Arabidopsis thaliana: one gene and its partner. The protein of the gene in region 1 interacts with the protein of each later gene in a pairwise test. Each region holds a gene or a part of one and is shown on either strand. Other genes may lie near its edges. The genes, in order: AT4G27585 and NHX1.

What was found.
Region 2: the proteins of AT4G27585 (region 1) and NHX1 interact in a protein complementation assay, tested with the Arabidopsis thaliana proteins (one large-scale study listed by BioGRID).

Annotation. Positions count from the first base shown.
Region 1 is NC_003075.7:13,766,062-13,772,045, forward strand, and holds AT4G27585 (SPFH/Band 7/PHB domain-containing membrane-associated protein family), read right to left. Parts: upstream 3,901-5,984; 5' UTR 3,772-3,900; coding exon 3,617-3,771; intron 3,367-3,616; coding exon 3,123-3,366; intron 3,003-3,122; coding exon 2,853-3,002; intron 2,449-2,852; coding exon 2,391-2,448; intron 2,313-2,390; coding exon 2,220-2,312; intron 2,038-2,219; coding exon 1,939-2,037; intron 1,717-1,938; coding exon 1,625-1,716; intron 1,363-1,624; coding exon 1,303-1,362; intron 1,208-1,302; coding exon 923-1,207; 3' UTR 638-922; downstream 1-637. Other genes in the region: AT4G27580 (phosphatidylinositol transfer SFH5-like protein), read right to left, coding at 126-245; AT4G27590 (Heavy metal transport/detoxification superfamily protein), read left to right, coding at 5,163-5,286, 5,383-5,702, 5,882-5,928.
Region 2 is NC_003076.8:9,551,465-9,558,305, reverse strand, and holds NHX1 (Na+/H+ exchanger 1), read right to left. Parts: upstream 5,007-6,841; 5' UTR 4,539-5,006; intron 4,196-4,538; 5' UTR 4,056-4,195; coding exon 3,891-4,055; intron 3,819-3,890; coding exon 3,700-3,818; intron 3,279-3,699; coding exon 3,181-3,278; intron 3,070-3,180; coding exon 3,010-3,069; intron 2,923-3,009; coding exon 2,876-2,922; intron 2,784-2,875; coding exon 2,589-2,783; intron 2,500-2,588; coding exon 2,453-2,499; intron 2,363-2,452; coding exon 2,296-2,362; intron 2,210-2,295; coding exon 2,109-2,209; intron 2,020-2,108; coding exon 1,779-2,019; intron 1,691-1,778; coding exon 1,628-1,690; intron 1,547-1,627; coding exon 1,463-1,546; intron 1,370-1,462; coding exon 1,040-1,369; 3' UTR 712-1,039; downstream 1-711. UniProt on the Arabidopsis thaliana protein: Acts in low affinity electroneutral exchange of protons for cations such as Na(+) or K(+) across membranes. Can also exchange Li(+) and Cs(+) with a lower affinity.

The DNA of each region.
Region 1 (5,984 bases):
AATATGAGTTTGTTCAATCAAGAATTTGTAGTAAATTCTGTTTAATTGGTAAATTTCATGTTATTCAATTCAAGAATCTTTAAGATCATCTACTAAATTATTTAGAAAGAATATATTGGACTCACCTGAGTTAATGTGGCATCTGTCTCGGTCGCGGCATTCTTGGACTCAACAACAGCATTTTCGGTCGAGACAGAGCCTTCGACGATGTCAGATTCCTTAGGTTTGCTCGCACAGGCTCCCATGGTTTTTGGATTGAAAGGATTAGTTTGGAAAACAAAACTTACAATGGGAAGAGCTGTGGAGCAAAAAAAGAAAGAAAGAAAAGGAGAACTCCTCTAGACAAAGCTGACTTTGAAGAGGCCAAAACTCTTTAATTTTATAACCGGAGGCTGAGCAAATGGAGGAGAGGGCTGTGAACAGATTCATACAGGAATCGTATGGACTAAAGCTATTTCAGGTAAAGTTTTGGTTAATTTCAGAATCACAAGTCATTACACCTTTGATTCTCTGTGAGGACCTATTTATCCGGAGGACAACTTTTATCTCCACCATTCTTCTATATCCTGTTTAGGGGGCAATGGCTTCTTTTCTGCTGGCAAATTCTGACATCTCATGGATTCACAAGCTCCTCCTGGTTAGATTGCAATACTCTGCAACCGAACCGAATAATAACGGGTACAGGTAATAAGCAATGCAATGGGAATAAAGGTGAATAAGAACACAAGGACCATGTTCATAACAAATCCAGTAGGAAAATTCTTATCGGAGAACAGATGTTCAGATTCGTTTCTATATGCAAAGTGATGATATTCTAGCTATTCAAACGGAAAAGATGGTTACTGCCTCATATTTGAAAGATGAAAAATGGTTTCCAGTTTTCTCAAGCCCAAAGAATTTATCTCATCCCCGGTTCGGCTGCCTACTGCGGATCCTTGTTGCGGTTCTGAAGAGAAAATCGTGGTTCACCGGTGTGACCTGGTTTCTCTGTGTCAAATGATATTGAGCCTGATCGGTTATTAGAGCCTTCTGATATATGTTTCTCACCCATGTCTTCCAACTCTTCCAAATCTGTTTCATCAAGTGCTTGTGTTTCTTGGTGATCTTTGCTTGGACCATTGATGACAAGGCTTTTGTACATTGTTAAAGCTTGAGCAATCATGCTAGCAGGATTTGAAGCACCACTTGGAAGCAACATTATCGTACCCTAAACCCCAAAAAAAAACAAAAAACATGAACATTACATAAGCCCGAGCTATGCCAAGAGACTGGAAGAGATTACAGTAATTGATTTGTTTTTACCTCCTTGGCAATGTTACCGAAGGCTGTAATGTATTGCTCTGCAACTCTCAAACTCGCCGCCTGCAAATTTTACAGTGACACCGTATGAGATCATATTTTGGACAGAAAAAGTTAAGAAACCTAAACACAGCAATAATAGTGATATGACTTAAAATTCCAAAAGTTGGAAAGTTCAAGAAGACACAGAACCCTTTATCCAAAGAGAATAAAGACGTACACATTTAGCAATTTGTGTAAATACTATGAAGAATTAATTAATCAAAGCTAGTTAGTTAAATCAAAACTATGAATACCAATATTCTGCTTGATCTCAATTACTCACCTCTACTCCCCCAGTTTCCTTGAGGGACTGAGATAACAAGACCAGGCCTTTCGCAGTTGCTTGTGCTCTAGCTAGTATTGCTTCTGCCTCACCTGTAGAACATCATCAAGGATAATATAAGAAAAAACCAGTGGGAGATAGCAACCATATTGTGCATTAGCAGTAACGAAAATAGTTCCTCATGCACCAAGCATTCATCAGTGTACAGTGGAAAAATAAGCAAATGAAAACTAACTTTTTCTTCTAGTGAAACTAACTAACAATGGACATAACATGCAACTCTGATGTGTTCTCGATCTTAATGGCTCACTAACCTTGTGCTCGATTCACCTGGTCCATCTTTGCTGCTTCAGATGCCAAGATTACAGAACTTTTCTTACCATCAGCAATGTTGATATGGGATTGCCTTTCTCCTGTCAAATTTAGTAAAGCAATGATTAGAAACATGCTAAGCAGGCCTCTTCTTTTCCAAATGCAAAAAACGAAACTCAAAAGGAATAACAGATAGATTTTAGCCAAGAATAACATTATGAGCCGTAGCAAGCACTGCTCAGTCTCGAAGATGAGTTCTCAAAGACAAGTCAGTCAAGGTTACCTTCAGACTCAAGAATCTGGGCTCTCTTTTTACGCTCAGCTTCAGCTTGCATTTCCATAGCAGCTCGCACTCCATGAGGGGGCATAATATCCCCTGGAAAAACATGAATTAGAAATAGGAAAAAACAGATATGTAACTATCACCGGAAAAGAAAAAACACGAACAACTTACTTATCTCATAACGAAGGCACTGAAGACCCCAGTCTTTTGCAGCAACATTGATGGCTTCCTGCAAGAATATATATACATCTCAAAAATCCATCATATATTTTCTTCTTCAATGGATATACTTCCTCTAACCATCATGTCTCCTTATGATTTGAAAAAGAGACGCAAATAAGTTCGGATATCCAACAAATACAACATGACTAAATCCCCCAGCTGAATCTAAATTCCATATACCCAACTTGTGGTATACAAACACACTGCCAGATGTGACTAATTTTTCCAACTAAACAGCTCAAGCCGCAATGCTCAGTAGGGAGTAACACCAACAGCAATATTCAAGCTAACGTGACTTGACTTTGAAATTGATCAACTTAGCGGATTCTAAATTCTTTGAAATGCACAGGAGCTTAAGTACGGTGAGTCCTAACACTTCAAAACAGAGATAAAGAAGGCTGGAGAACAAACCACTATCTTCTCGTTGAGAGTGTCTCGTTCCTCAAAGGTCTTATCAAGAGTGATCTTACCAAGCTCACTACGCATTGTGGTCTGAGCCAGCTGTACAACAGCATAGATAGGACTCTCAACGCCATAAGAAGCTAACTTAGGATCCACAATCTGCAAAAAAAAATTCCCAGATCAACAAGAAGAAATCAGTAAAGAATCACAAAAGTAAGAACTCAAAACAAAAAAAAAAAAACAAGAGGAAAATGGATTGGTGAAAGAAAAGAAGATGACCTTAACGTAGAGAACACCATCGATGTGGATACTAACGTTGTCTTTAGTAATCGCAGTCTGATTCGGAATCGGGATAGCTTCTTCCTTGAGAGAATGAACATAAGCAATACGATCCACGAACGGAATGAGGAAATGAATCCCCGACGGCAACGTCGTAGCGTATTTACCGAATCGCTCAATCACAAACGCCTTCCTCTCCGGAACTATCCGGATTCCCCAATTCGTCGGCGGCGTCAATTGAAAACTACAACGAACATCCATAAATCAATCCTAAGGTTCTCTACTCTAATCTAAAACCAAATGCTTCAAAAACGAAATCGTAAGGTGAGAAACATAAATGATTCAAAAATCAATCCTAAGGTTCTCTACTCTACTCTAATCTAAAACCAAATCGTCAATTGAAAACTACAACGAACATCCATAAATCAATCCTAAGGTTCTCTACTCTAATCTAAAACCAAATGCTTCAAAAACGAAATCGTAAGGTGAAAAACCTGTTGGAAGGATAGCCGGCGGAAGTGAACTGGCGAACGGTTGAAGCGGCGGCGGAGAAAATCGGAGGTGGAGAGGTAACGGCAGATTGACGGAGGTACGAAACGGACCTCAAGGCGGAGTAACCGACGGAGCTTTTACGAACGAGGTGGTTCATCTTCGTGGGAGAATCAGAAAAATGATATGTGAAGAAGGAAAAACCCCAAAACAAAACCTCTTATAATGCGTAGTCAATATTCAGGTACTGTTTCTTCGCCGGATCACGAAGATTTCACGCAATATGCGTGGAGAGGAGGCAAATATTTTATTGGGCTTTAGTGGATAGTTTGGTACCTGCTGTTATTATTGGGCTTATCTCTAGCCCATTCAGACGCCTGAAATATCCATCTGTTATTAATTTATTATTCATTGTTTTGGTTGTTATTTTAAAGAGTTTTTTTTAGTTGAATCCAAAATTCATTGTGAATCGAGAAATTGCAAGAAAATAATGGCTCCGATTGGTAACCACTTTTGAGGAAAACAATGAATAGGAAAGTCGTGTTCCTTTTTGTTCCTCGGTATTTTTTACCATTTGCAAGGAATTTTTGATCCATTTTCAGACAGGTGGATCCTACATTTTTCCTCATCATTCCTCAAAAAAAAAGAATGATAGAACAAAATTGTTCCTCCCCAAAATTCCTATTGTTCATTTCTTTGGTCACCAATCGGAGCCAATATAAAAAATTTGGGTAATGGTTTCTTTTAGTTTCTAAAAATCATGTAATGATGTGAGTGAATTATAATGAATATTTATATTGTAAGGAATAAAATACATATTTTATTTCAAGAAAATAAACTTATATCATGAAATTTTGATAGTTGTAGATAGTCATTAATTCATTATTATACGACGTTTTGGATATTGAAAAATTTAGACATTACAAAAGCCATGAAGGGGTGTTAAACTTTACTATAATGGAAAAAAGCGGTTTAAAATTCAGAATGCATGGAAAAAACAAGTCTAATGGGTTTCACATGGTGAAGAACTGTGTGTGAGTCATCAAAGATCCGGCGCCGTTCCCTTTTAGATATACCGACGTCAAGAAATAAAATGGCAACAATTAAAAGCTTCGTAATGACGAAGCGCATTTCACCTTTCAAAAGTGTCTTCTCTTTCTTTTGTCTAATCTTTTCTAAGAAAATAATTTCTATCTTTTGCTTAGATTTCAAAAGATTCAATCCAAGTTTTCTTTTGGTGGGATAAAGTAAAAGATGAACATGTAACATGGGATCCAAAGTCTAAAGAAGGTTATATTTTGTGAACTATATCTAACAAAGAGAATAGTGGTGACACACTTTACACTAAATCCAAGTCACTAGATCCTAAAAAGCTTATAACATGACGACTTCAACAACATGCACCTCATCTCTTCTGCATGAAACCCAATCACTGTCGTCAATATATATATGCACACACCTAAGTTCGTGTATCTCTACTATATATAAAGGTAAGTGTGCATAGTTTGAGTTAGAAATTGGAATTCGACCAAAATACATAGTTAAAGTATAATGGGTGATCTTCAAATCGTGCCGGTGTACAACAAGGTGGAAGCACAGTACGTAGAAATGATGGTGCCTTTGTATTCTTACGGTTGCGAGAAGAAAGTCAAGAGGGCTCTTTCTCATCTCAAAGGTACGTAATCAATAGTTTTAATGGTTATGATATCATAGACGACTATGCATAAATAATTAATAAGCTTATTATATTTTCTTTATAACGAATAATCAGGAATATATTCAGTGAAAGTAGACTACTACAATCAGAAGGTGACGGTGTGGGGGATTTGTAACAAACTCGATGTGTTAGCGATGGTGAAAAAGAAGCGAAAAGAAGCTCGGTTTTGGAATGTAGAGGAAGAGGAGAATAATAATCCAGAGAGCGTTGATGATTGCATTGTCGTAAAAGAAGACACTATTATTAAAACTTCATTTGATACCGATAAATCATCGGCGTTTTATACGTATTCTACAACGCCTCCGAGATTCAGTATAAGACCTCCTATGTCACTTATTAGAACCTCTTCATTCACATGGAAAGCCGTGAAGAAGGTCTTCACTAGATCCCTTTCCTTTTGAATCACGTCTATATATGACTCTACTAAGTTTCTAATAAAGCTCCAAGAAATCACGTACGTAACTTTCATTGGATCTCTTAATATATACATAAATACCAAAGTTTCTATATAGTTGATAAGGTTTGCATCTCGCAACGGATTGATGGTACGTAGTTCAATGGTCACCGCATTGTTCGTAAAATCTTTCTTGGGACACATATGTAATTCAGTTGTATGACGCTTATCAACTCTGAAGTTAGTTTATATTCGAATGTCT
Region 2 (6,841 bases), on another chromosome or scaffold:
ATACCTTTTCAATTTGTATTCTTTAACTAATTTAAGCTAACTAATATATTTGCTAATCTTATACCTATCAAAACCGACTATCGTTTCTTATCTATATATACATTTTTGCAGCCATTTTTTGAAATAAATCTTGTAGTTGAGACTTATTTACAATGGCTGCCACTGAATTTTAATGTTTGTTTTTGATAATTAAAAAGAAAATCTTCGAATTAAATATTTGACATTTAACAATCTTCCCAAAATCTCTCCACATTAACTACACGATTATTTACTAAAATAATACTTCTAAAATATTTAATATCATTTAATTACTACAAAATTATCATTTTTGATATTGCTTTTCTCCATAACTATAACAATTCGATTATAATCATCAAAGCGAAGAGATATAATCTGATAGCATTTAATTACTACAAAATTACAAAATATTTAGACAATGATTCATAAACATATCATAAATAAGATCAACATTAATAAAATAAATGGTTTTCTTTTTTACAGGACGGGTTTGGCAGGATGTTACTTAATAACATTTGTAAACTATAAAATAAAATTATTTTATAAATAGATACAATTTGTAAACTTTTATATATACTAACTTTAAAAAATAAATTGTTCCCGCGGTATACCGCGGGTTAAAATCTAGTTAGATTATAAGTTTCAAGACCTACCAAATTTTGATATCATTAGCCATTAGGTTCACTAAATTTTTGTTTTGACATAAAGAAATAATTCTTTATTAATATTTTTGTCCGAAATCGAACCAAACCGTACCAATCCGATCCTCAAGTTCGAAGCAAAAACCAAATTCAAAACATAAACAAATGTGTAGTTTGTGTTACAACAAAACAAATATGAATATAATTACATACATCAATCAAACACTTCAAAGTTGCCATGTTTTGCTTTCTGCTCTCAAAACGTTAGGACAGATTTCTGTCCTCACAAACAATATTACAAATGGATAATTTACACAAAAGCATAATTTGAATCACCCTTTTCTACCAAAAAAAATCAAAGCTTTTCTTCCACGTTACCCTCAAGCCTTACTAAGATCAGGAGGGTTTCTCTCAGTTGGAGAACCTGGAACAAAGGGTACAAAGCCACGACCTCCAAAGACGGGTCGCATGAAGGAGTCATCAAATTGTCTCCAGTAGTAATGCACGGTTCGAGTGGGCCGTGTCAAGAAGCCACGTATACTGTCAGGCCGAGGCACATTGTGGTTCCCTGAAGGCTCAATGAACGAGTCTTGGTCCAACAAAGGGATATGTATGGATTTTGGGGTGTTGTCATCAGATAACATGCTCGTGGTGGCGTTCTGGTGCGGTAATAGGTAGCTTATGAGTGGTTTGGTCAGCATACCAAACACCTGAAAACAAGGTTCAAGAGAATCTATTAACCAAATGTCCAATTCAATTAAGAAATATTATGTAACTCATTTGATCATCCAGAGATTTCTTACCACTGTGCTAAAAAGACAGACAGTTATCGTACTCGTGATCATGATTGCATTCCCGCGTACATCTGTGTGCCCGGCCCTTGTAAACTACAATAGAAACAAGTGTTAAATGATGATTTGTGTCATTTGAAGCTTCATAGAGAGTATTTAAAGACATTCTTTTTATACCTTGTTGTATGCAAGAGCCATAGATACAGCACCTCTCATGAGACCAGACCACCAAATCACAACCTAAAGAATGGGAAAAAATGATAGATATAAATAGCTGAAATCCAGAAGAATTATTGAATCTATTAGTACCAAGTAGAATGATACATACCTGCATGTTAAAGTTGATTTTCTCGCTTTGATTCTTCTTGGCTAAGTTAGATAGAAACGATAACGGAAAGACGAACGCTGCTCTTCCAACCATGACCAGACCCATTAGGATTGAGCTCACTGCGATCGATGTTCCCGGTGTGTCACTCACGGATCTCCACTTGTCAATGTCCAAGGCATCCATTCCAACATACAAGAAAATAAATGTCTCCGCAAGAAATGACAAAGTTGCAAAGGTATGCCTGTTTCATCGAAAAAAATCATAAGATAATCATTGGGAGGTAGAAAGTGTTAATCTCAGCAAAAGGCGGAGAAACTAAAGTTTGCATACTTTGTTGTTATTCTTGAGCTCTCCGTTACATTGTGCCATGTGTAATGGGACATCACAATACCACAGAAAAACACAGTGAGGATACCGCTCAAGTCGAAAAGCTGCAACCAAATTAATATAACATCAATATAATTTGTGTTTGAATGCAACTGAATGAATATGTTCGTGTTATTTAAAAGAATCTAACCTCAGCAAGCATATAAGAAAGATACGCCATAAGCATCATAAGGGCAACCTCTCGGTCAGTTGAGTGCCTGTGACAATTAATGTGAGGCCATCTACGTTAGACCAAACAGGAAACAACTTAAAGAAAACAAGTCACATATATGACGTTAAATATGTACCTTCCAAAGTATAGCTTCTTGATAACATACGCACTTATCAGACCGGTCTGCAAGATGAATAACAAAGATGTGAACACCAGAGCGTGCATATAGCAGCTACAAGAAAGAATGGCAGGGAAGAAAACAATGGACTTACTGCAGCACCAAGCAAGGTACTTAGGAGAAACAAATACAAGAAGTTTCCAAGAAGATGAAAAGCAGCTTCGTGGTTTAGGTGAGTGAGATCAAAGCTCTGAATCGCGTTGAAGACCACAACTGACGTTGCATCATTCACAACACCCTCTCCGAATACAAGACTGTAAAGCAAAGGTGTCTCGTCTTGATTCAGAACCTATATCACAACACAACAGGAACAGAAACTTTCGGTCCACTATGTTTCAGGGTTTGTAAGTAATTTAAGTCATGTTGGAGAAAACACATTACCTGCAGTGTACATACTGAATCTGTTGCAGCAAATATGGCACCAATAGCTGAGATTCAAACACCAAAAACAAATCAAGTCTCCCGATTAAGTAAAGCAATAGGAACCAAAAAGAAGCCATTAGTTCAGGCCTTACCAAGATAATCACCCAAGTCAAAGGTTCCAATGTCCAACTTCTTAAAGAACTGTGTTACACCTGTTTCAAGAACCACCAGAAAATCAGTAGAGATATACAAAACTATCTCGACCTAATCCAAAAAGCCGCATTCAGCGGTGTTTCAGCCAATCGTAAAGCGAAGTAACCTACCTAGAGATATGATTGTGCAAGAAATAATAGTCCCAACAGCACCAAAAAGCATAATAGTCACGAAATTGCGGAAAAACTGCTTCTTTTTTACTTGAAACCTGAAATAGACAACAACAAATCTGAGAAAGATCCATGACAAAGACAAATCCAGGACCACACTTACTTGCACGTGTATAAATCTAACTACTTCAAAAAAAGACATCATGCCCTCTTTTCTTTATAACAATCACAAGTACTAGAAAAAGTTGATGTATGACAGGTATTTATAGAAGTAGAGCTTAAGCTTACTAATCAACATCTTTAAAGCGTTGTACTAACTTTATCACCTAGAATCACATAATGCATACTTTTCAAAACTAAGTTTTTTCTTTCAATCTGTTTTATGTAACTTTTGTAGGTAAAACCCGTGCAACTAAACGTATCATATAGCATGAGACCCTACCAAACTAAGTCCTACATTAAAAGATATATCCCAACATAGAGGAAAAGGCTCAAATGGATGTAAAAAAAAAGACTGACCCTGCATTGAATATAATGGGTGGCAAAAGATATATGAAGAAAAGATCTTCACTAAAGACGAGAAGATGCGAGCTTTTTCCTTTACTAATCAACAAAATGGTAACACCAGTGCCTAGCCCCTGCAACCAAATAGCTCAAATGTCATTCAAGTTGGAACTCAGTAATTACTCTTTTCAATTGAGTGAACTTACAATCAACAAGGCGGTGATGGATTCGTTCATCCATCTATTCTCTTCCAAAAGATGACCAAGAACAATACAAGCACAAAGAAGTGCAACAAAGAGATTCAACGCAACCACAGAAGCGTGATCAGATGTCGATAACGAAGGCAGTTTCGACACTAGAGAATCCAACATTGTTATCTTCTTCTAGATCCAACAAACTTCCTCTTTCCAGATTTGATCCAAGAACATGAACAACTATTCAGATTTTGGATCAGCAAAATCTGGAAAAAAAAGTCTCTTTTATCTTTCCGTGCTGTCCACTGAAACCATTCCTGTTTTCAAGAAAACAGAGCTGAGACTAAACAGTGAAGCTGTGTAATGTATAGCATGAATCAGCTTTGACTATAAAAAACACACAAAAAGTGAATCCAAATCTGAGACTTTTGATACAAACAACAAAAAGCACAAATCCCACAAAAGGCTAATATTATTAAATGATGACAACATAAAACCAAATTCTCAAAATTTCCTATTTTTGGTAATAGCACAATATGAAATTAGGTCGGAACTTTAATAACCCAGATTTCAAATATCTCCCAACAACAAACAACAAACACAAAAACTTCAAATGAAAAAAAAAAAAAAAATTGGTGGATCTGATCTGAATTGCTTTACCTTGAACAACTTCTGGGTAATCTAAATATCTTCAGTCTGATTTACAAAAGAGCCCAGAAGATCAAAATTCAAAATTTTGGAAGCTTCGAAAGCTAAAACCTGAGATTCTTCTTCTTCTTCGTCTACGAGGAACGAAACAGAGAGGCGAATTCGAAAATTGAAGGAATTGGGGAAGAAAAAAAAGGAGAAAATTACGGGACTGAGGAAATTATACGAAATTTCGATTTTTTACTGGAAATAGAGAGAGACGTGTACGGTCCCTTTTTAAGAGAGAGGGAGATAGAGAAGAGAGAAGATTCCAATTTCTAAACACAGTAGAGAGAGAAATATAAGTTACGAATAGGAGAGAGATAGAGTGTATGTATTATTCTCTGTTGTGTAAATGAAAGTACAAATGGCGAATTTATAGCCGTTGATTTAAAGTTACTATCTGAGATCTGAACAGTTTAGTGTTTGGATTTATTGTGGAACTTATCGTAGACGATAAAACCTGACTGTACTAAGATTCATGATTTATCTATTTGATTTGTCGAGTACTTTTGGTTTTGAAGACAACAAGTTTTTTTTGGGTCACCGTTTTATTTATTTTTTTGGAATTTTCTTCACCTTGATGCTGAACTTTTTTAAAATTCATAAAAAACCTAAATACATAGTGAAACTCTGATGCAGTAAAAGAAAATATTATATGGATGAATTTGTGTAGACGAAATTATTTATAAAAAAAAAGCGTTAATGGCAAACTCAATGAACCAAAACAAAAAAAAACAAAATTTTATCATGATTTCACCTTTATTTTTGGTATCATTTCTTCTAATTTTATTAGAGATATACATTTTAGGATATATATATATATATATATATATATATGAAAATGGCAATGAATTTTTTTATACAAGGTTACTATTTTCCTTATCCTTTATCAAAAAAGGTTAATTTCTCATAAGATAAATTAGGTTATAGGGATCAAAATCTCACAGAAAGCAACAATGATTTAAACTTGACCAAGCGTTGTTACCTCAATTGGTAAAGATCCTAGGCGAAACTTAGAGGTCGTTAGTTCGAGTGATGTTTGGGACGAAACTAATATTACATGTTGTGGTTTCAGGCCTGAAGGGATTACGGGTTTCGGCCCAGAACCTCCTGATATTCCGAAAAAAAAAAAAAAAAAAAAAAAAACTTAAATATAAAACTATATTTCATTCTATTAATTGTTAATTAGTTTAGATAATAACAACTCATGAAATCATTAGATTAGTGCCGGTCTGCCGGATATGCTCCTAGCTAAGTCTATGTCATAACATATAGAATCGACTAGTTAATTATCGTGGTTCTACCATTTATAGTTTACCAGATCATACTGTATGCTTGAAAATTGATAATCTTTCGGAAATGAATTTGTTTTGAATATTCTCAAAAACGTGTTCATCTTAGTACCATATCTTTTTGTCATCAAAATGGTTACGGATCTTCTAGCGTTTAATCACCCTATTTGTTTTTTTGTAATATCATTGTTTTTGTTTTTGTCAACAACAAATATTAACATGTGAATTTATATTTTAGTAATAATATAATAACTATATTAGCAAAAACTATTACCCTACATATTTTGGTATTTTGTAATGTTGTTATTTTATTATTAAAAAATGTTTTTATTTTATTAAAATTTGAGAAGGATCAATTATTGAGTTATTGTTTATTCAATCTACGTGAGGATCTGAATCTAATTAATCATACAAACTCCAAAGTCTGTCCACGTCGTAGAAATTGTTTTAAAAAGCCCATCAAAATCTTTACAAAATAAAAAGTTTCGTTAAAATTGGATTACTATTTCAACATACAAAGTTTTCAAGTATTTAACGTGCAATTTAGTGCCAACCAAGAAAGATAATCTATTATTCTATTACATAGAAAAAGGATAATATTAACATATTTTACATACCGCCGACGAGACTCATAATTTAGATAAATGTTGTTATGTAATTGTTCTTACAAACAAATTGTTTTTATTATCACGGTTATGAAAATTAAATAAATTGTCTCATGGCTTTTCAAATATTTAAAAGGTCATGTCAAATAAAGTAGGGCCAAATTTCATATAGAGCTATCCACTTATTTTGGAATTAAAGATTAGGTACAAAAATGCATCACCTACAATCTACGGATCCAAATTATATATCATCACGATTCCCAAATTTACCTATTCACGACAATATAGTTGTTCTAACTATAGTTATATATATCTATATATATATATATATATGTATTTTGTAAGTAAAAATAATATGATTATTTCTAAATTTTCG